3 linked regions of the Tamandua tetradactyla genome follow. The protein of the gene in region 2 interacts with the protein of the main gene of each other region in a pairwise test. Links are inferred from orthologs where the notes say so. Each region holds a gene or a part of one and is shown on either strand. Other genes may lie near its edges. The genes, in order: SDSL, TUBGCP4 and LZTR1.

What was found.
Region 1: the proteins of TUBGCP4 (region 2) and SDSL interact in a two-hybrid assay, tested with the Homo sapiens proteins (2 studies listed by BioGRID and IntAct). The two-hybrid records come from large-scale screens. The link is inferred for Tamandua tetradactyla from reciprocal best matches to the Homo sapiens genes TUBGCP4 and SDSL.
Region 3: the proteins of TUBGCP4 (region 2) and LZTR1 interact in binary tests that used the Homo sapiens proteins (3 or more experiments, as listed by UniProt). The link is inferred for Tamandua tetradactyla from reciprocal best matches to the Homo sapiens genes TUBGCP4 and LZTR1.

What each region holds. Positions count from the first base shown.
Region 1 is NC_135331.1:14,092,420-14,100,017, reverse strand, and holds the start of SDSL (serine dehydratase-like), read right to left. Parts: upstream 3,646-7,598; 5' UTR 3,576-3,645; intron 1-3,575. UniProt on the Homo sapiens protein: Catalyzes the pyridoxal-phosphate-dependent dehydrative deamination of L-threonine and L-serine to ammonia and alpha-ketobutyrate and pyruvate, respectively. Also exhibits racemase activity towards L-glutamate and D-glutamate.
Region 2 is NC_135340.1:57,627,375-57,634,972, reverse strand, and holds the start of TUBGCP4 (gamma-tubulin complex component 4), read right to left. Parts: upstream 3,424-7,598; 5' UTR 3,149-3,423; coding exon 3,071-3,148; intron 1-3,070. Other genes in the region: ZSCAN29 (zinc finger and SCAN domain-containing protein 29), read left to right, coding at 4,612-4,929, 5,398-5,602, 7,552-7,598. UniProt on the Homo sapiens protein: Component of the gamma-tubulin ring complex (gTuRC) which mediates microtubule nucleation.
Region 3 is NC_135331.1:26,806,830-26,814,427, reverse strand, and holds the start of LZTR1 (leucine-zipper-like transcriptional regulator 1), read right to left. Parts: upstream 4,966-7,598; 5' UTR 4,654-4,965; coding exon 4,454-4,653; intron 4,015-4,453; coding exon 3,952-4,014; intron 1,025-3,951; coding exon 968-1,024; intron 1-967. Other genes in the region: AIFM3 (apoptosis-inducing factor 3), read right to left, coding at 5,835-5,874, 6,599-6,703, 7,184-7,259, 7,451-7,549. UniProt on the Homo sapiens protein: Substrate-specific adapter of a BCR (BTB-CUL3-RBX1) E3 ubiquitin-protein ligase complex that mediates ubiquitination of Ras (K-Ras/KRAS, N-Ras/NRAS and H-Ras/HRAS).

The sequences.
Region 1 (7,598 bases), on a different chromosome or scaffold from region 2:
ATCATCGATTCATAGGCTATGTTGTTTCAACCACATCTGTGCAAATGCCCCTTCCTGTAGTACTGTGTTTTCCTTCCTTTATTATTATTTTATTTTCCTCCTGTATTCTTTTATCAGTAAATATTTCTATATCTCTAAAAGACATTTTTTTTAAAAAAAGTACTCACACGATTTCACAACTGTATACATTTGTCCAAACACATTGAATTCTACCCTTAAGATGGGCCAATTTTATTGACTTTCAATTATACCTTGACAATGCTATTTTTTAAAATATATAACCATGATGCAATTATCACACCTAAAAATATTAATAGCTTCTCAATATCATCAAATATCTGGTAATTGTTCAAACTTCCAGTTCTCTCATCAATGTGATTAAAGTGGTGGTTTTTGGTTTTTGACAGTTTGAATCGGGATGTGAATACAGTCAGTGCATTCTGATTGGTTGATAGGTTTTTAAAATTTCTTTGATCTGTATGTTCTCAAGAGGGGAAACTTGAGATGAATGAAAACGAGAAGCAGGCCAACTACCCCGCCCCCTCCACCGCCATGTGGGACGTGACTCCCGCGGGGATAAATCTCTTGGGGAATGAGGTGGGACCTGTCATCTAGGGATTGAGAAAGCCTTCTTGACCAAAAGGGGCAAGGGAGAAATGAGACAAAATAAAGTGTCAGTGGCTGAGAGATTTCACAGAGTCGAGAGGTTATCCTGGATGTTATTCAAACGTATTATATACGTACCCCTTTTTAGTTTATGGTGTATTGAAGCGGCTGGAGGGAAGTACCTGAAACTGTTGCGCTGTCTTCCAGTAGCCTTGATTCTTGAAGATGATAGTATAACTATATGGCATTTACAGTGTGACCATGTGATTGTGAAAACCTTGTGACTGAAACTCCCTTTATTTGGGGTCTGGACAGATGAGTAAAAAAATAAGAACAAAAAAATGAATAATATGGGAAATAAGGTGTAAAATGAAAAAAGGATAGGTGGAAGTACTAGTGGTCATGAGAGGGAGGGTAAGGGGTTTGGGATGTATGAGTTTTTTCCTTTCATTTCTTTTTCTGGAGTGATACAAATATTCTAAATATGATCGTGGCGATGCATATACAACTATGTGGTGATGTTGTGAGCCACTGATTGTACACTCCGGATGGGCTGTTTGTGAAGATTTATATATGTATATATAGCAGCCAAGGGAGGGTACTCCTGCAGAGGGAACACAGGTAGGAACACTTCGCGGGAGAAATGCACTTGGGGTGCTGCCGGCGCAGGAGGACAAGTGGCTGGGGCGGGAAGGGGCTGGGTGGCGGGCTGGGTGGGTGTTCTGTGAGAAGGAGGGTGGAGGTTATTCTGGTTCCTCTTGGAATGGGAGCCATTGGGAAGTTTAAGCCATGGAGAGAGGGGTGAGTAGGTGAGTGAATGAGTAAATGAACCAATGAGAAGTTGCAAGAAGGAGAGAAGGAGGAAAGGAGAAGGCAGGGAAAAAGAAGGAATTTTTAAAAGAAGCGAAACCAAGCCCACTTTTCTCTCTGGGGCAGTGGTCTTTGGCCAGCCCCCGCAGTTCCACTTTAAGCCACCAGGGAGCGCTCCGTGGCCACTACATGCACGCGCGCGTGCGCACACACATACGCACACATATACACACACAGACGCCCAAGCTTCTGGAGTCCCCTGATCAATGAAGTTCCCTCCTCCCACCAGGGGATCTGACCCCCTTGTCAGGGTGGCTCGGGGCCTCCCCAGACAGGGTGAAGCCTGAGTCACCCCTGCCCAGTCCCATCCGGGGCACTTCTGGGCTGGATATAAGAGGAAGGGGCACAGGTCACCGCTCGTCCCCAACCCAGCATAACCTCCACCTCAACCATGGAGTCCCAGGGTATGGATTTTGGGGTCAAGCATAAACTAAAGTTAGAAACCAGCTCTGACTTTCTGGCTGTGTAACCTGGACAAGTGTCTCAACCACTCTGTGCCTAGGTTTCCCTGTTTGTAAGATGGGATAGTAACCATCCCAACCTCTTCAGCTGGAATGCAGATTGATAATAACAACAGCCACCATTTCTTGGGCCCCTCCTGTGTACCAGGCATGGTCTGAGTCCTCTGCAGAGGGTACCTCTGTGAGGACTTCTAACACCAGGCACACGTCTTCAATGTTGCAGGTTTATAAGGTACCTATGAGGTGCAGCATCCTAGGCACAGGGGAGACCATGGTGAACAAGACACCAGGTTCTGCTAAAAAGATGGTTTGCAGTGTGATGAGGAGAATAGCACTTAACTAATAACTGTATAGACAAACAAAATAATTAGAAACGGTGAAAACTTCTAAGAAGGAAACAAGTATATAAGAAGCCATGAAAGAGAAAAACAAAGGGATGTACTTTGGGCAGGGAGGTCAGGAAAGGCCTCTTAGAATTGGTGACCATAGAATTGGTGACCATTATACAGAGATCTGAAAGATGAGAACGAACTAGCCATACCAGAGACTGGGTGAAGAAGCCATACATCAAAGGGCATTGGGAAAATTAAGGGAAGCCATGTAGCAAAAGCCCCAACTCTCTGTGTGACATATTATCATAAGAGGTAATAGTTGTGTGGGACTTACTGGGAGCTGGCGCTGTGCTAAGCACCTTGTATATTATCTCTTTTAATCCTCCCAACCACTCGATGAGATATTATTAACTGCATTGTAGAGACAATGAAACTGAGACCCAGAGAGGTTAAGTAACTTGTCCAAGGTCACACAGCTACAAATGGCACAGCCAAGATCCAGCCCAGGCAGTCTGGCTTTGGTGTCTGTGCTCCTAACCACTATACTTCCACTATTACTATTAGTGTTATTGTTAGATTATTATTTTTAAAGGTGTCAGTATTTAATAATTATTGCCAGTTATCCTCAGTCCCCAGGCTGCTCCAGTTCTCTTGGCCATACCGGCTTCCCACGAGAGGACAGTGGGCATCAGTTAAATAAGCAAGCTTTGGCAAGCCCAAATCCCATCAGGGGCCCAGGCCTCCCCGACCTCATTGGTGGAAGTTGGGGATTAGGTGTGTCCCATTCTGAGGTCTGGGGCTGAGCTCTTGGTGGTTGCAGCAGCCATAGAGGCTGTGCTAAGAGCCTTAGGTCCTCTGGGCGTGGAATAAGGCAGAGGGCAGCCCAGGGCCTGGGCTCAGGGCCCTTCTCTGCATAACCTTGGCCAAGCCACATTTCCTCTCTGGACCTTGCTCGCCTCATTGGTAAATTAAAGTGAAAAAAAAAGGCCACCACCTACTCGTTCCACTTTCCTGGTCCCTAAGGCCTTTCCTGAGAGGCCACCTGGCTGACCCCATGCCACAGCCTGATCCCAGGTGTCAGGCCGGGGAAGCCCCAAGCTGGCCTTTGGGCCCCTCAGTGTCCCTGGTGACTGGCTGGCTTCTCCAGGCAGGCTGGGCACAGGGCACCCTGTTTGCCCCGAGGTTCCTGGAAGGCTCAGCCACACTCATCCCCTTTCACTTCCTGTCCATTCACCTGGACTGTGCCCCAGAGCCGCTCAGACCACCACCCCCTCCCACTCCCACAGCTGAGCCCAGGTCCCCTTACCTCCCTGCTTGACAGTCCCCAGATCAGCGTGGGTCCTGCACACCTGCTGGGCACCGGCCGCTCCCTGCAGCCCCAGCCTCTCCTCCCACTTAAAGGGACAGTGCTCAGCTCTAAGCCTTGGGCTGCGGAGACAGCAGAAGGAAGGAGACGAGAAGCAACCCTCGCTGCCCGCCCTGGTGCTACCCAAGTGCATTACCCGGTCCCATTAGACAAGTGAGGAAACTGAGGCTGAGCCCACCCAGACAGCAGGGCAGAGCCAGCCTTTGCCCCGACCCCGGACCACCCCTCTCATGCTACAGACATCTTCCCATCTTCTTACTCCAAGTCCATCCCAGATGCCAAGTGTCCCCCGGGCCACTGTTGGGGACAGCTTAGGTGTCAGGGGTGGAGGAAAATGACGGCAAGAAGTCACGAATTATTATTTGTCACGTGAGAAAGGCATCTTTTTTTCTGAAGTATTTTTCCATCTCTGATATTTTATATCCAACGTAAGAACCCAAACAAATATTTATTGTTCCAATGAATGACTCTGAGCATTCGTTCATTCAGCAAGTCTTTATCGAACACCTACTACGTGCCAAGCCCTGGGACACAGCTCAAGCAAGACAGTGTGTCCCCTGCCCTCCCGACGCCCTCACGGGGCCAGTGACGAGCAATTACATTTGGGGCTATGCCATCGGGCGGTGCCTGGTGACGGGGCTGCGGGTACCCTGAGCTAGCCGTGGAGGCTGGGAAGGTCTCCTGGAGGAGGGCAAGTCTGCGCTGAGCCAGGAACAGGCACATGAAGTCCAAAGGTCTGGGATTTGAAAAACATGGTGCATTTCAGGGACAGAGTGCTCAGTGGGAGCAGAAGAGAGAAGGAGGGCTGGAGAAGCAAGGGGTTTTGGGGCAGGAGAGCTGGGCAGGGGCCAGAGTCCACAGGGACTCCTGTGCCAGTTCAGAGCCTGGAACTTACCTGGAGGAAATAGGGAGCCACAGAAGGCTTTAGGCAGGGGAGTGACATGATCAGATTCACGTCTCTGTCACCGCCTCACTGAGCCAGTCACGCCCTCCTCTGGGCCTCAGTTTCCCCATCTATAAAGCAGGAGGTGAGGCCCAGGAAAGACCTGGAGTATGGACGTTCTGTGTCCTTCTTGGCCCACGTGTGACCTCCCCGGGTTCAATGAGTAACTCCTTGGGGTCAAGTGGAACTGCCTGGTCATGAACCTTAGTAAGGACTGTGCGACTTCAGACCCATCCGCACGCTACAAACACCCTGAGTGGGTGCTTTGGCGGCACAGATACTAAAACTGGAATGATACAGAGATTAGCGTGGCCCCTGTGCAAGGATGACACGCAAATTTGTGAAGAGTTCCATATTCAGGGGGAGAAGCTAAGACTATCCATAACGAGACCTAGGAGTTGCTTCCAGGAAACTCTGTTTGTTGCTCAGATGTGGCCTCTCTCTCTCTCTCTAAGCCCAACTCTACAAGGAAAATCATGAGCCTCCGCCCTGCACGGTACAAGCCATTCAGGGGTGAAAGTCTCCCTGAAAACGTGGGGCGTGACTCCCCGGGGGCGAGCCTGGCCCTGGCGCAATACCTTCCTGACCAAAAGGGGGAAAAGAAGTGTAATAAAATAAGGTATCAGTGGCCAAGAGAGATCAAATGAGGTCAAGAGGCTATTCTGGAGGCTTCTCTTATGCAAGCTTCAGTGAGATAGTGCTGACTGCCATGGTTTGCTAAACCCCAACCAACATCACTCCTGTTGACTCTTAAGAACACCTAAGGCTCAAACTGAGGCTCTATAAATGTTCCATGCACTAGGTTTGCCTTCCTGGAACCTATAATTCCTAAGTCTGATAAATCCTGAAACCCAGAGGGACCAGCCTCTCCAGAATTATCAACTAATTTCATCCCCTATTCTTTACTGTGGACATCCCTTCTCCACATGAAAAAGTCAGAACAGGCATTGCCCAAGATCCCTATAGATTGGGAGAAGGATTAAACGAGAAGGAGGAGGTATAACAGAGAAAATGGGATTTAACAAATGAGTATGGCTGGGGAATCACTATTTTAATATTCTAGAACACTGGAGGCTAGAAGGAAAAATCTGAGATGGTAGAATGGTAGCCCATGGCAAACTCTGGGATCTGTTCTTGTTGAGTGTGCTTTGAAAATTATTCCTGTTTTATTTGTTTGCTTTGTATATATGTTATATTTTACAGTAAAGAACATTAAAAAAACAACCCACCGTGAGCCTTGTCAGGTGTCCTGTCCTGGACTGGGTGCTGGGAACCCAAGGGTGATGGAACCCAGTTTACGTCCTGAGGTGACCTCCAGCCTAGAGGAGTGAGGCACCCAACCCACTTGTAACTCTAACACCCCCTTGGAGGACAGAGGGCAGAAGTTCTCCAGCAGGTAACTGGGGTATGAAATCAGGCTGGGCTTCCTGGAGGAGGTAGAGCTTTAGCACACAGCTCAAGCGTGGGCAAGAAGCAGAACTGCTACATTTATTGCATGCCTGCTGTATGCCACATCCATTCGTGCTGGTTAGCATATCCCAGCATATTTTTTAAATAGTTGGGTCTTTCTTTCTGTGTTAGGGAATATATTATCATATATATAATATCAAACCTATAGTTTCCCAGATTTTGCTTAGGAAGAAACTAAAGCAGGCATTAATATTTTAAAAGGGAGTCTGTTTCAAAAAAAAAATATTAAGTAAATGTTAATAGTTTCAAGCATGGAGTTGACCCAGTAGAGCATGAACTAGTGGTTAGAACACAGGCCTTGCCTTGGTTTCCTCAACAGTAAGATGGAGATAAAATATTACTAGAATTTTAGCCATGTGACAATTATTTAAGGTAATCCATGCAAAATATTCAGGATGGTAGCAAGTACCCATGTTTGCCGCAGCTACTATTATTATTTCTATAAAAAAGATGACATGACAATATGACGAAAATGACAAAGGCAGTACCTGAATATCTGAAATTTGGGAAAGGGACACCATTATCTTGCAAAATCCTTAACAACCCTGGAAAGGTGGGTATTGTAATGAATCCTACAGTTATGGAAACAGGCTCAGGGAGGCCAAGCTGCTTTCCCAAGGTCACACAGTAGTGCAGAGCCAGAGCTCAGGACACTGCTAGGCCCAGCTCCAACCTCCTGGCCTGGGTGGGGGTGGGGTGGGGATGGGGGGACAGGGTGGCTGCAGTGGAGAGCAGATAGAGGCTGGAGAGGAGGACCTGGGTCACTGGCCTGTCCCCTCCCAGAGCCACATTCGTCAGCCAGCCCCTGGCCCTGACACCTCAGACCCGCCAGCACCCACTCTGGCCAGCCCCTGGGGTTATTCATTAAGCTTCATTTCGCCATCCCCATCCCTAGCTGGCTTTCCTGGCCTCAGAGCAAGGGAACTACGTAGAGAGGAGGGATGCAGCCTCCAGCCCAGGCATTTGGCTCGCCCCAGTTTGCAGGTTCAGTCTCAGACCCTGCGTCACAGGTTTCCCAAGCCAGGGAAGCTGAGTCTCACTAAACAGATGAGAGGTCTGGGGGTTGGGCAGTCAAGCACCCAGCCCCGCTCATGAGCAACCCAGCTGGGATTTGGAGCCTGGTCTTCTGCCACCCGATACAAGCCAGTGTCAGAGCCATATTCAAAGTCGACAGCCCTTGCCAAGAGTATAAATCATCTAGAGCAGAGAGGGTCTCAAACTGGGCTGGGCTGGGGTGGGGTGGGGGGCACATTCCCGCTGGAGCTGAGTCACACCGTCCTTTGTACAAAGCCATGGCTCTTTGTTTGCTACTGTCCCCACCTCTTCCTTTCGTACCCCCAAATTCCAACAGCCCCCTGCCTGCCTCCAGTTGGAGACCCCTATACAGAGGAGCTTTCCTCCTCTCCTCTCCTGAAAGGGAGAGGAATCCAGTTCCCAAGGAAGAAGCCAGAGCACAGAAAGGTTAAGGGATTAGCGCCGGGTTGCCCAGCCCATAAGCCACAGGACCAATCTTTGAGGGACCCCCACATCCAGCCATTCTGTGGGCGGGG
Region 2 (7,598 bases):
TTATATTAACAGGCATTCTTTGAATTAGCATTACTTATGTTCAAACAGAAAAATACAGAGCAGATGTGTCATTCCATTTTTAAACTCAATGTTGACAATTTTGTTTCAGCAAAACAACAGTATATGTCACATTAGATCAGTGGTTCTCAACTTGGTTACTCTCCAAGGGACACTTGGCAATGTCTGAAGACATTTTTGGTTGTCACAACTTGGGGGCTGCTACTGGCATCTAGTAGTGGGTAGGGGCCCAGGATTCCACTAAACAGCTCACAATGCACAGGACAGCCCCCCACAACAATGAATTATCTGGTCCAAACGTGACAATAATGCCAAGGTTGAGAAACTACGCATTAATGTTAATTTGAATTTTACTGATTTAGTAGTTTTGATTATATTTAATTGTAATATTATTTGGCTTTATAGTTAAGAGCAAGCTATGCTTTAGTTTATACATAGCTGTGTGTGTATACATATTCGATATTACAATAAAATAATTTTCATCAACATTGGGTATCCATGACAGTTTTTTCCCCTTTATTCAATTGTAAAAAACACTACTCTGAGAAAGAAAGCAATATTCTCTTTTTTTGGTCACCTTGTTTTCTTCTATAAATATCTAAATACCTACTATGGGGCAGAAGTTGTGCTAGATGCTCCAGGTATAATGATGAAGGCTACCGTGGTCTCTGTTCCATGGGCAATGTATGCAGGGAAAAGGATAAACAGATAAGAACAATAAATAAATCTTAATGATTTGTGGTATTATAAGAGAAATAAACAGGTGGCAGTGATAGAGAACAATAACATAAAAGGAAGATACCTAATTGAAAGAGGTGCCAGGGAAACTTTTTCTGAGGAGGTATCTTTAAAGCTGAGACTAAGAATAAAAAAGAGGAAAGTAACAGAGACTTTTTCATAAAAAAGAAAGGAAGAAGAAAGCTGAATTACTTGTGGTTCCCTTCTCAGCTCCTAGCAGCTACCTCTCCTCTACTCTATTTTAATCTCCTTTTACTTCAGATAGTCAAACATCCAGTAGATACTTAGTGAACATTCTCCGCCTATATGCCTGAAATTGTGCAAAGTTCTATGGAGGAAAAATAAAACACCAATTCAGTCTTCAAAGACCTGTACTAAAAAAGTAACAATTCATGCTCAGATATGACCTCTCTCTCTCTAAGCCCAACTCTGTAAAGAAAATCATTACCCTCCCCCCTATGTAGGACAAGACTCCCAGGGGTGAAAGTCTCTCTGGCAATGTGGGACATGATTCTCAGGGATGACTCTGGCCCTGGCACCATGGAATTGACAATGCCTTCCTGACCACAAGGGGGAAAAAGAAATGTAACAAAATAAGGTATCAGTGGCTAACAGAGCTCAAGTAGAGTAGAGAGGCTATTCTGGAGGCTACTCTTAGGTAACTTTCAGCTAGCTATTGCTAATAGCCATGTTTTGCCAAACTCAATCAACATCATTCCTGTTAACCTAAAAAATATCTAGGCTCTATTTGAGATTCTACGAAAGTTTCACATGTGAACATTACTTTCCAGAAACCTACAATCTCCAGGTAGTTCCTAGGCCAGATAAGACCTGAAACGCAGAGGGGCTAGCCTCTTCAAGAATATCAACGAGTTTCATGCACTTATCCCATATTATCAATACCCTTTCCAGCATGAAAAAGTTAGAATGGGAAGAGCACAAATACTCTTAAAGATTGGGCGAAGGATCAAAGGAGAAGGAGGAGTTACAACAGAGAAGATAGGATTTAACAAATGAGTATGACTACTGAATCACTGTATAGATATTCCTTTTAGTCTTTGGTGTCTTGAAGCAGCTAGAAGGAAAAACCTGAAATTGTTGAACTGTAACCCATACCAAACTTTGAAATCTGCTCAATAACTGCTTGTTACAATGTACTTTGGAATTTATTGCTTTTTTGTATATACAATATACTTCACAATTTTAAAATGTTAAAAAAGTAACAATTCAAACTCTACCATACAAATTTTCAACTCGCTTATTTTTTTAAGGAAACCTCACCTAAATTCCCAACCTGCAAACATAAATTTATAAAAACAAGAGGAATCTGTTTGATTTATACGTTTTATAAACTATAATGTAATTTTTCTGCTCTTCCACAACCTATAACGTCAGTTAACATAATAATGGCACAACTTTGTGACCACACAGACCCAGATTCAATTTGTCACCACTAGGACTCCAGGTATGAAGTTCTGAGCTTCAGCTTGCTCAGTTGTAAGCTGGGGCTCACAATATCTAACTTCTCAAGTGATTGCGAGTACTGGATAACATTAGGGGAAGCAGAAATAGGTAAGAATAGTTCAGATAACTGGAGGCAGAACGACCTGGGTTCAAAGCCAGGCTCTGCTAATTACTAATCAACTACGTGACGCCGAGAGTTACATAATATTGACTCTAGGTTCAGCTGTAAAATAGAGACTGGTGGGTGTGAGGATTAAATGAGATAATGCATATGTAAAATGTCTAACACATAGCACTTCATACAGCCCTGATTACACTTCCACCTATTGCGGAAATTACTCCTTTCCGAGTAATAAGTGGAACACATCAGATGCTCTCATTCATTTCTTCATTCAACAAAATTTGCTGAGCACGTGTCAAGCGCTGTGTATTTGGGCCGGCCTTCAAAATTCAGTTCGAAGCACAGTGCAAGTGTAAAAATGGGAGAAAGTGACTCTTTCACCTTTTTTCCTCCTCCTCTTTCACTTTTACATGCAGTTCTCCAGCTCCTCAGGTTCGGACACTAGACCCTTAGGCCCCTTGAGTCTCACGTCCCCCGCCAGGGTGAGGCCTCTCAGGATCTGCCCTCAGTTTCCCCCAGAACGGCCTCTAACCCGGAGGCCCCTCGGGCATCGGACTCCAGTTACCAGTTCAGGGGCACGCCCCTTCAACCACAGCGCCTGCAAGTCTCGCTTTCTCCACACCCTCAGACTCCACCCCAGGCTCTGGCTCAGGTCCCGGGAATATATGCTCGTTACTTCCCGCGCTCAGGTCCCGGGAATATATGCTCGTTACTTCCCGCGCTCCTTACCTGGAGGCCACTTCGTTTGTTCCAGGTGAAAATGGACCCCGGATACCCGCTCAGAGCCAAAAGCAATTCGTGGATCATTCCCACGGAGGAACGCGAGTCCTTGGATACGTCACCCTCTCCTCCGGCGTCCCTCCAGAAGACCACGGAGGCGACGCTCCCTCCTTGGCGAACGCACAAGCCCGTGAGCGGGAAGGTTCTCCTCAATGAGGCCCACGGATAGAACTGCTGCGGGAAAAGCAGATGGGAAACCCGACAGAGGTCTGCGCGCCGAGCACCGGAAGTGCACGGCGATCCGCCGGGCCAGCCGGCTCTCTAGCTACAGTCTCCGCGGGAGATGGAGGCGCCTTGGCTGCTCGCGCATGCGCCTTTTGTGTCCCGAGTCTCCCGCTCGGACTTCCGGTTTGGGAGCTGGACTGGGAGGCTGGAGAGCTGGGGCTGGGGCCGGACCCGAAGTGGGTGAGGTTGTCCTGGGTAGGGATGCGAGTGGGTTAAAGGACAGCCCCTGAGGGAGACGCTCCCAGGGGTGGGCCGGGGGGGGCGCTCTTAGGGTGCCTTAGGCCGATTGAAGGCCTCTAGAAGGGACTTCACGGGGGCTCCAAAAGTGACCCGGCCAGAGGGAGCCAAGACAAAGAGGCCGGAACCCCTTACCCGCCCCTGCTTAAGCTGAGCCCCGCGCCCGCGAACCCCGCAGCACTCGGAGGCTCTGGTCAGCACCAGAACTCATCATTCCCAGGAAACCCATCACCACTGCCCTCTCCAACTCCTCCACCAACTCGATGTTACTCTCTCCAAGTCTGCTCGGCCTTAGTTTCAGGAGCCTAAGCCAACTTTAGATGCGCATGGTTTCCTTTCAGTAGCTCCCGAGTCCTTGTTGAGCAGTTTACTAATGCTCTGAGGGAGAAACAAAGATCCGATATTCAGTAATTGATTTTTCTCTGGGATGGAAATTGGTAGTTGTGAAGTTGAAAGGGGCGGGGCGGGGCGGGGCGGACTCAGAGGGCCTCAGGGAGGACTGCGAGGGTCCTGGGAGAGATCATCTGCAACCCGCTGGACAGAGACTTTCCATGGCTTTCAGCAGGTCGTGAATTGCCTTTAGATCCTCCCGAGCTCCAAGTCTCCCATATGGTTCAAATTCACTGTCATTGGTCAGGGGAGCTAAATAGTACCAGATAAGGGGGATGTGGGACAGGACCCCACACAATACTATTCTCTGCTGCTTCCCCGGGGCTGTCCTGGACGTCACCCACAAAAGGCAGCTTTTGAAAGGTCCCACTCCTTTATGCTCATAGTGTTGGCTTGCTGCTCTGAAGATGGTGCTACCTCAGATGGCCACTTGGAGCATATGGGAAGTCAGGCCAATCCTGACAAGACTTTAGGCATATAAATATATTCCTTCTGATAGTGCCATCTCTCTCTATTATAGGAACAAACTCCTCTCACAGAGAGAGAGTCTTCTGCAGGTGCTTCTCCAAGGACATGGGAAAATAGGTGTAGGCCCTGGAACCCAGACTTAAGTGGAGGGAAGCTGCTTTCTGCTATGAATGATGGCCAAACCCACTTTGAGAGGGAATGGCACTAACTCTGAGACCTTCCGCCAGCGCTTCAGGAGATTCCATTACCAGGAGGTGGCTGGGCCCCGGGAGGCTTTCAGCCAACTCTGGGAACTTTGCTGTCGGTGGCTAAGGCCGGAGGTGCGCACCAAGGAGCAGATTGTAGAATTGTTGGTGCTAGAGCAGTTCCTGACCATCTTACCTGGGGAGATCCAGAATTGGGTACAGGAGCAATGTCCAGAAAGTGGAGAGGAGGCAGTGGCTCTGGTAGAAGATTTAGAAAGAAAGCCTGGAAGACCTGGACGTTCGGTGAGAAGGGAGAGGGAATTCAGAAATGTGTGATTGGAAAGGGGCAAGGGTAAAGGGCCAGATAAATATATAGATAGTTTTAAAGAAGGGCATAGTCCCTTTTTGCAATTTTAACTGCAACAGGTAAGTTTTTCGGATAGAGCTTGTCTGGAAATTTTACCTGGGTGTACCTTTACCTACCCTGCCATAATGAGTTATTCGTGGTTTCTTACTTAATAGGGAAGACAGAGGGATTTTTCTTTTTCTAGCCTGTAGTTGGGTTTATTGTTTTGATCTTTTCCTTCTAGAGTTCAGCTGCTCTAAGCTAACAGTAATGGAATGAGACCCATGTTCAGTATTATCTCCTCCCCCTATAATCGCAGCCGTGTCCCAGAGGATGCTCTCTTTTGGGGTATTAACTAATCTCCTTTGGGAATGCCCCCCCCCCACTACGACCATGCAGTGACAATTAATGGGGGTTGTTTCTAGGTCACAGTCTCTGTGAAGGGGCAGGAAGTGCGCTTGGAGAAGATGACACCCCTGAAATCATCACGGGAGTTATTAAGTGTTCGGCAGGAGTCAGTGGAACCCCAGTCCAGGGGTGTACCCAAGAAAGAGAGGGCGAGAAGCCCAGACCTGGGACCACAGGAGCAGATGAACCCAAAGGAGAAGCTCAGACCTTTTCAAAGGAGCGGTGAGGAGTAGATTCATGTGGGAAGATAGCATACCATTCTAACTGGGGAAGTAAGGTTGGGAATAGAAAGTGGGAAAGGGATTTCAGGAATAAGTGGAAAATTGTAGAATATGCAGATGTTGGGGACCTCCTGAAGACATGTAATTTAGCCCTCTGCCTACAGTATTTTTATATTTCTACTTTTGATAAATCTGCTAGAGGATGGCTCCATAGTTTTATCAGAATTTGGAACTATTTTATTTCCTTTTGGTAATGATGACAGTGGGTCACTATTTTCTAGATAAAACTTATTTTCTATACTTGAAGACCCAGCTTCTTTTATTCATTTTCCTTCTTCATATAAAACTATATTTGTTGTTTAAGCTTTGCCCCTGAAGCTGAATTCTTCAGACTTAAGTTTTTTTCTTACTCTCCTCTATAACCTTTAAGTTCACCAGATGTCATGTTATTTGTGGAGAACTATTCCAGTGAGTGTCTGGTAGGTAGAGATAGAATGAGAGCTTTTCTTTCACAATTTTGCTACATTTTCTTTTAGTATAGTCCAATTTAGGATTATTTGATCATTCTTGTTCACGTGGTAACTTCCAGGACTCTTATCACTTTCTCTATTACAAGTGTGCCTAGTTGCTAATTCTTGTACTTGATTTTGTAGAACTTGTTTTTCTTCTTTGTACTCTATTGAACTCCATTTTGCAAATTACTTTGTTCTTTAACTTTTTGAGGCTATTTTGAATTCTAATCTTATCGTCCAAGATCTTAGCCTTCTCAACCAGTTTGGTAATGGTCTTTATCTCATCATCCAGATCAAATGCCTGAACCACACACCAGACTTGCAGGTTAATCAGAAAGTGGTTTTTGAATACCTACCACGTGCTCAAAACCTTGCAGAGTACTCTGTGCAATAAGAAGAGGTGCCTGTCTTCAAAGATCTTACAGTATGATTGAGGACGCACAGCAAATTATAAATACGTGCTGAACAGAATTGTATTGAAACAGTGCCAAACAATGACTTACCACTCAGTTGTGTACTATATCTGTTTGGCAGAGTGAGAGATAAGGTAGGGATGGTGTAGGGAAAACTTGAGGGCACTGGTATATAGAACTTCTAGAAGGATGGGTTCAATATGATAGGACGGAATTAAAGGAAAAGTACAGAATGGTGGATAAAAGGTATGCTGTGCTCTGGAGAGAACAGTCTAATATGCATGGAGAGTGTGTGGTAGGCAATAAGGTTAAGATTCAATAAGTAGGATAAGGCTAGATTCTGATCTCAGAAACTGCAGGGGAGTTTAAATTGGATGAGGTTAAGATTTAGAGAGTTGATGAAAGTTCTGAGCAAGAAGAGATGTGATGGGAATGGTGTTCACAACACACTAATTTGGCAGCAATAGTATTTTAATTGAGGAAGTGAGGGCCTGAAGCGAGGTAAGGCAGTGACTGACTACTGTGGTTATCCGGGTGTGACGGGATAAGGAGTCTAGACTTGGATAGTGCCAATAAAATTAGAGCAGAAGGACATACTAAGGGAAATGCCTTTAGACCTTGGTAGACAATCCCCTATTTCCCACCCTTGAGATTACACAGAGTTTAATTCTTTAGCCCCAGATGAAGCAACTGTAGGAGACAGGAGGTGACTGTTCCCAACAGCATTAGGACTTGCATACAAGTGGTGGTCAGAAGCCGTAGGGAGCAACTTGGAATAGAATTATCTGCTCTGAGCATACAACAGGATCTCTTCATCTCTAGTCACCCTGCTCTGGAAAAGGAAATCTTTCTCATGTTTTAAGGTTTCCAGTATTTTTACTTTCCTCAACAAAGTGAACTTTCTGGAAACATTTCCCTAGATGCTTTCCTTATAATCATCTTGATAAAAAAGACAGGACTAAACTCACAGGTGTTTTATGAGCAGTCCAAACTATGATATCCTTTGTTTACTTCCCTGCAAGCAGGATTTCCATTTCCTAAATATGGTGTGGCCTCCAGGCTGGAGCAAGGA
Region 3 (7,598 bases), on a different chromosome or scaffold from region 2:
TAGGTGGCTCGTAGATTTTATTTGCTGAGTGAACGGCCCATTCCAGCTGCTTTTGTGGGGCTGAGCCTTTTCAGAGCTTTCTACTGAAACAACCGAATAAAGAATTGGAGAGTTTTCAGGGCCATACTGAAAACGGATGCATGAGCCATATTTTGAAAATCAAGGGTGAGAGAAATGGGCATAGAAGCTTCTGAAGCCAGGCCCAGTGTCAGCACTTGAGTTTTTTCCCTGCAGGGGACGGGAGGGGTGGCGTGGCACTGTCCTGTGGCCATTCGGCCACTTTGGATCCAGGGCCAGTTACTCAATGTCCTGTGTCAAGGGGGATGGTGAGACCCCACCCAGGGGGGTTGCGGGGGGCCATGCGGGCTGTGTGCAGAGCTCCTCCCCCAAATACAAGGGGCTTCTGTGGGTCTGGGGATGCTGGCAGTGGTCAGTAGGAAGCCTGTTCCCTCCTAATCCCGGGACCCACATCTTCGCCTTCACTGTCAACTGCTCCTGGACAGAGGCTGGACAGGAGCCAATGGACCCAAACAGCCAGTAGCTCAGAGAGGGCAGGTATGGTGCCCAAGGCCACACAGCTGGGAAGGGCATGTGAGGGAGGGGGGAGGCCCATGTCGGGGTCTCCTGGGGTGAGACAGGGATCCACAGCTGCCAGCACCCGGGTGGCACAGGATGGCATGGGGGTCAGCCCTGGCAGGACCCCGCTCAGCCAGCAGATCCCGCGGCAGCCCCAGGACCCCGAGATTGGCCTGGGGGCCTGGGCTGGGGCAGAGCTTGCAGATCTGCAACTGGACCAAACTTACCAACCGCAGCCTTAGACTGGAAAGGAAACCCAGGGGACAGGGGGAAATCCTAAAAGTGGCCTGGACACAGCATCCCGGGAACCATCCTCTCCTTCTGACCTGCGGGAGCTGGTTCTGGGAAAGATGGGAGTGGGAGGGGGGACCCTGGGGTGCCAGCCACCCACCTGCACCAGGAGCAGTCCTTCACGTCAAAACGCAGCAAGTCATTGAGCATGGTCTTCCTGAAAGAGGCACACGGAGTGTTTTGGGACCCCAGACACTGGGCACTGCAGGTGGGGGAGGGATTGGGGGGCTGCTTCATCAGTGAACCCCAACAACTGAGACTCCCCAGCTGGAACTCCAGCCCATGCTGAGTCGAGAGACCAGGATACGGCCTGGAACCGTGCCACCACCATGCAGCCCCCTTACCCACAAGCTCCAGGGAGACCCTCCTTGGCTTCTCTCATGACCCTCTGGCCAACCCTTTAGGATCAAAATGTGATAGCTGACACGTGTCACCACTTGGGTGAGCCCTGAGGGCTTCCTGGTGGGTGAAATAAAGCCAGACCCCACAGGGGACAGACACTGTGCAAATTTGGAGTCAGAAATCAGAATGCAGGGTGCCAGGCACCAGGATGGGGCTGGAGGAATGGGGGGCTCTGGCTTAATGGGTACAGAGTTTCTTTTTTTGGAGAGGGCAATGGAAAAGGTGTGGTCGTGGACAGTGGCCTAGAAGTGGCACCAATGCCACTGGGCTGTGTCCCCGAAGTTGGCTCAACTGGGATATCTCACATCGTGTATATATATATATATTTTTGGGGGGGGTGGGTGGGCAGGCACTGGGAGGACTCTGCCTGCTGAGCCACCATGCCCCACCACATGTATATATTTTTACACAAGGAAAACTTAAAAAAAAACAACAGCAAAGAAACCAAAACTATGAGACGATGATGCTAAAGATACGGATAAAGGGATGAAGAACCTACTGGCCGCTGCCTCAGCCTCATTGTCTTCCCGGAAAAGAGTGGATGGGGACCCCAAGAGCCAAGCATCCCCGACTGCACAGCCGGCGCTCCCTTCACTTGCCTCCTTCCACCTGCACCCACCCAGAACGGGGTGCTCTCCACCTCCAGAGATGGTCCCCCGCTCCCAAGTTCCAGGAGGGGAAACTAAGGCTGGAGGACAGGCAGCTAGGTGATCCCACCTGCAGCCCCCACACCCCCCAGGCCATTTTCCTTTGTACCCAGCTAGCCTTACAAAGTTGCAGCTCAAAATAAAGATACATTTGTATCCTTTTTTCTGAGTGTCACATTATAGCAAGCATGTTTCTGCTCCTTGCACAAAACTCTAATGTCTAAAGGACTGGCACCCCTGTACCCCACTTCCACTGCCCAGGGTGGGCACTGCAGCTTTCTATGGTTTGGGGGGGGGGATTCTCCTTAAAGTGCCAATAAATGCCTGCAGACCCTGAAATATCATTTATTCCTCGTCTGGGCCATGGGGTGCCATGCACAAAGTACCACCCTGCGTCGGTGGAGCTGACATTCCAGCAAGGAGGATGGAGGGGTTGGAAGGGGCTGGGAGGCCATTCAAGGCCTTGCTCCTGAGCTGCACAGAGGAGGGCAGGGGAAGGAGGGACAGGGGTAGGCCGGGTGGACACCTTGAGGGAAAAGCATTCCAGGCAGAGGGGAACAGCCAATGCAAAGGCCTCAGACAGGACGGTGCTCGGCACAATCAAAACGCAGTATGGCAGCTGGTGCAGCTACAGTGCAGCAAAGGGATGTGTGAGAGAGGCAAGAGCAGAGGACCTCAGGAATTGCTACAAAGATTTTGGCTTTTACTCCAAGGAAGGCAGGAAGGTATCTCAGGGTTGTGAGCTGGGGAGGGATGCGCTGTGGCTTGCATTTTTAAACGGGTCTCTCTTGCTGCTCATGTGGGGAGATGGGGTGGAAGCCAGGAGCCCCCCAAGTCAGCTCCCTGGGGGAGCCCTGAAAGACCTAGGCATGCAGTGCCAATCAGGTCCTGGGGCTGAAAGGTGGGAGCAGGACTCAAGGGCAGGATCGGCTGCAAAAACTCTCCCTCCTCTGTGCTGGGCCTCATGGCCACATGCTCCCTGACCCTTGGGGGTGTCAGCAGGACAGCTACCGCCCCACAGACAGAGGAAGCCAAAGCACACTTGGCGTGGTTACGCTTCCTGCCTGACCCCCAAGCCACAAGGCTCTAATTTGAGCTGAGCCCTGCCCATCCAACAGACTAAGCTTCAGCCCCGCCTCTGGGTGACTCCCATCCTTGCCCAGATTCCTGGTGTCCTTGGGCTTTTCTCCTGAGCACGACGAATGAATGGATGAGTTAGGGAAGGGGGGAAGGCCCTGTGTGGTCATCGGGCCTTGCCACACTGTTCCTGACCTATCCTCTCTCTGCCTGGAAGTCCCTTCCCTCCTTTGCCTGCCTCCTAAAACTTAGTAGCCTGCCTACTAATTTTTCAGGTCATCATCCCTTCTGGTAAGATTTCCCTAACCAAATCAGAACTCTACTTCCCTTGCCCAGAACAGCACCCCCACCCAGTAAGTGACATGGCCCAGCACACGCTGAGACAAGCTCCTCTCTCTTCAAAGGTCCAGCTCCCGAGGTAGGCAGTGGCTACATAAGGCAAAGATTTCCCTTTGCTGTGATCGTTTACTAAGGAAAACTGGCCGCATTGTAGGAGGGGTGCAGAGGTGTCCCACCAACAGGACCTCAGATCACTGCCAGGAAGGCTACTTGCCGGGAGTTTATAACAACGTAGGAAGATCCTCACCGAAAGTGAAAAATGCAGGAAATAAAGCCGTGTCCTCTGTGCCTTCTCAGCTGCAACATGTGCTGCTGGGCAAGTCCCAGAGGGAGGGCAGGGAAGGAAAACTACCTGGTGGGGAGGTGACAGCAAGGGCCTACATGGTCCTTTCAAAGCTGTGTCTACTCGCCCAGAACAAGGGGACATTTCTGTGTACTGAGCCTGTATCCCTACTGCATGTGTGTTGCTGGCCTAGGGACAGGCTCTCATTTTATTCTCACCAGGATCTGGGAGGCGGGGCATCACAGATGGGGAGTTGAGCCTTAGCTGAACCCCAAAAGACAGGAGCTCATCCCTGACCACCATGCACCCCCCGCAGTGGTCCCCACACGTCCTCACCCATTGTCTCCACCAAATACGTAGATGGCATCTTTATAAGCCACCACTGTGTGCTTGCTGCGCCTGGAAGAAAAGATGGGGTGGGAGTGGGGGGGGATCGTAAAGTCGGACCCTCCTGGAGGGGGGAGCATCCAAAGGATGAGACCAAGCTAGAAGCCTGCTCCCAAAGTGGGGTAACCCCTCTCACCTTCCTACACCTACTGAGGACCCTAAATTCCACCTGCACCCCCAAATGTAAGGGGCTCCCTGGACCTCCCCACCCTGCCGCAGATCACCCAGGGTCCCAGACCAGACACCCCGAAGCCTGCGCCGTCGGACCCTGCCCTGGGGTCACTTCGTTCTGGGGTCCCCCTCGGCGTCCCCTCCCAGCCCTGGACCCCCTTCCCCCACCCCTCCCCCAAAGACCAGACCCTGCCCCCCGGGACATCAGGTCCAGGCCTCGCCCCTGCGACCCCTTCAGACCACCGTCCGCCCCCAAGGACCCCCCTGATCCCGCCCGTACCGAGCGCCCACGAACTCGTCGCAGGGCGGGAGGCGCCGCCAGCGATGCACTGTCTCAAAAGGCCCGAAGTTGAGCGTCAGGTACTCCACGCTGTCGGAGCAGCTGTGATCGAAGTCCACGCTCGGGGCCACCTTGGACCGCGCGCCGCCGGCCAGGGCCCCGGTCCCGATCGGGACCCCCGAGACGCCGGGCCCAGCCATCCCGGGTCGGCGGGATGTGCGGCCACCGCCCGGGTCCACTCGACGGGACTACATTTTCCGGCTCGCCCTGCGCCCACGGCGCGACACTTCCGGCCGGCGCTACCGCACTTCCGGACAGGCCTAGCTGGGCTTGGACACCACGGACGGGCGCGGCACTGGGCTGCGGCCGGGTCTTCCCTGCGACCGTGTGCGGCAGCCTTCCGGCGAAGTACGGGCGCCCGAGACCCGCTTCTAGTGAACGCGGAGCCTCCGCCGCCAGCCCTGTGTGCCTACACTTCCCCGGAGCCCGCCAGGCCCCCGCCGCGGAGGGTCTGCAGTTTCCGGTGTCCCACGCCCTAGACCTTCCGCCGCTCCCGGCATCCCGGAGGGAAGGTTCCGGCCTCACAGCGGCCCCCCCGGCCCCGTGGTCTCCCCTTTGTGTTCTCGTTGGCTCGGGGGCAGCATGGAGCAGCGAAAAGAGCAGGGCCTCTGGATTCCCATTCTTCCTCTGCCATCTACTGGCAGGGTCCCAGAAAACGGAATCTGTCCCAGGATCAGTTCCTGCAGCCCTAGGTGGCAGGTGCCCCCCAAACTGCCAGACATGAGTCTCCCTCTGACCTCTGAAGAAGCATTTCCTTTCTTGAGCCCTCGGCACTCCCCTCTGCCTGGACTGACCTTCCTTCAAAAATCTCCACTCTTTGGGAGAAGCTTTTCCTGACCCCGCAGGCAGAATCAGTTGCTAGCTCCTCTGGGCGCCCCTCAAGCCAAACTTCTTTGGTGAGGCACTGAGAAGTCTGGGGGTGTGCCTGTGTCTTCCCGTGGAGAGCCATGTCCGCTTCTTCCCCCATGAGTGTTTCCCCAATCACACTGGGGGTCACACAGATCTGCAAATGTGTGCATTTTTTATTTTAACGTAATATCTGAGACGTCAAAAGGTCCCGGAGGGGACCAGACCCAAGAGAGGGAGAAGAGGCAGGCCCTGTCCCAACTCCTGTGCCAGCCATCTGTGGCAGCAGAGGCCAGCAGAGGAGAGCCAGGGCATCTCTGGACAGCAGAGACTAGGCAAGGGGAAGGCAAGCGATGGAAGGGATCGAGTTCTGTCCTGGGAGATCCTGGGAAATTGGGAAGTTGGCACCTTCCCCAGGACTTGGCTTCTGTCCCCCGAACCCCGGCCCTCCTGCCCAAGTCTCCTGCATGCGAGCTCAGGAGCCCTTCCCCGTGAGCCAGGACATGTCGCCGGTCCTGCAGGAACAAAAGGAAGAGGAATGAGAGCAGAAAATGAGAGGGTCTCCCACTTTGGGCACCACAAGTAGCTGGCCCTTGAAGACAGCCTGGGGCCTGCTCCATGCCAGGCCTGGTGCCCAGCAGAGGTGTGTACTTGGACAGAGAAGGTAGACCAGAACCCCCTCCGGGAAGGCTCAGAACCCTCAACAGAAAGGACAAAGAAAGACAAACGTACTTGCTGTGCAGCACAAACAGCCTTCGTGAAGGCAAGAGGAAGAGAGAGAGAAGGCCAGGAAGAGGGGATGTCATTCATTGCATCCCCTCTTGGTTCTCATTTCCAAGCTCAGGCCATACACCCCCACGCCCCTCATCCCTGCCCAGTGGCCCCTATCCTCCCCCCACTTCAAGCTTTCCCCAGTCCCTGGGGCTTCTCAGAAGGCACAGGTTGATTCCTATCTGCATTGTGCTAGAGATGTGGGGAGGGGTAGTGGCTGGTGTCCAGAGTCTGCCATGGGTCCCAGGACAGATGACAGTCCAAGAAATGGGCCTTGTCCCATCCCAGAGCCCTGGCTCTGCCCTGGGACACAGCCCTCCCTTTTCCACATCTCCCCCATGAGCACATTTCCCGCTCGGCTCCCAAGCCACAGCCATGCCCCATAGCCCCATCCTGCCCTGAGGCGTGGGAGCTGTGACGGGGCCCCCCTTGTTCTCCCCACCCCAAGGCCTCCATGCCCATACTCACTCCACCTCCCGCTTCCGGATGGCTCGGCCAGAAGCCAGCACCTCGGCCACCTTGGACACAATGGGGTCATAGTTCATGCTGGCCACAGCAATGACCTCATCGCCTCTGTAGGTAGACAATGGCCGGACCTGAGCACTGTCCCACGAGCATCCCCTCCAGTTCCCAAAGGACCCTGACTGACCCTTGTCCACCCAGAGCCCAGGGAGGGGCATGTTCCAAGCATGCAGCTCTCCTGCTTCAGGGCTCCCCTGGGACCCCCATGGAGGCTCCTGGCTTCCTCCTGGGCCTGGCTCCTGTCCTAGAGTCACCATTCTCTCCCTGCTGTCACTTGGGGTGGGGTGTCAACACCTGCCTGGAAGAGCTGTCCTGAAGGTCGAGTGCCGGGCCTCCAGATAGCTATAGGCAACCATTACCCCTGCCTCGTGGCCTTCCTTCTGCAGGACTCCTGCCTCACTTATGTCCACCCCCTTTGCCCCTGGCTCCAGCCATGGGCTGCACCTTCCGGGTAAACCCCCCACTTCTGGAGCACACCTTGTCCCGGAGGAGGCCCCCCTTCCTGACCCATCTCCCGTCCGTTGCACTCACTTGGTGTAAAAGGCCACGAACTTCAGCTCCTCCAGGTCCCCCTGGATGATGACGTCATCGAAGCCTTCCCCATAGCCTGTGGGCCACGTGGAGGGGGTGGGGCTTCTCAGGATCGGGGCCCCGCCCCCTCTCAGGCCCCACCCCCAGCACGGTCCTAGCTGGTGTTTGCTAGTTCTGTCGTGACCCCACCCCCAGATCCTCAGCCCCACCTCCAGGTCCTAGGCTCCGCCCTCAATGCCCAAGCCCCACCCCCAGGCCCTCGGTCACCTGTGTAGCGCAGGCTCTTGCCGAACATGGCCGTCCAGAGGTAGGGGACAGTACTGATCTCTGCCTCCTGTGCCAGCATGTTCTGGGCTGCCACACGACCTGGGGGATCCAGGCCCATGAGATGCCCCCCAGCCTCACTTTCCCTCCT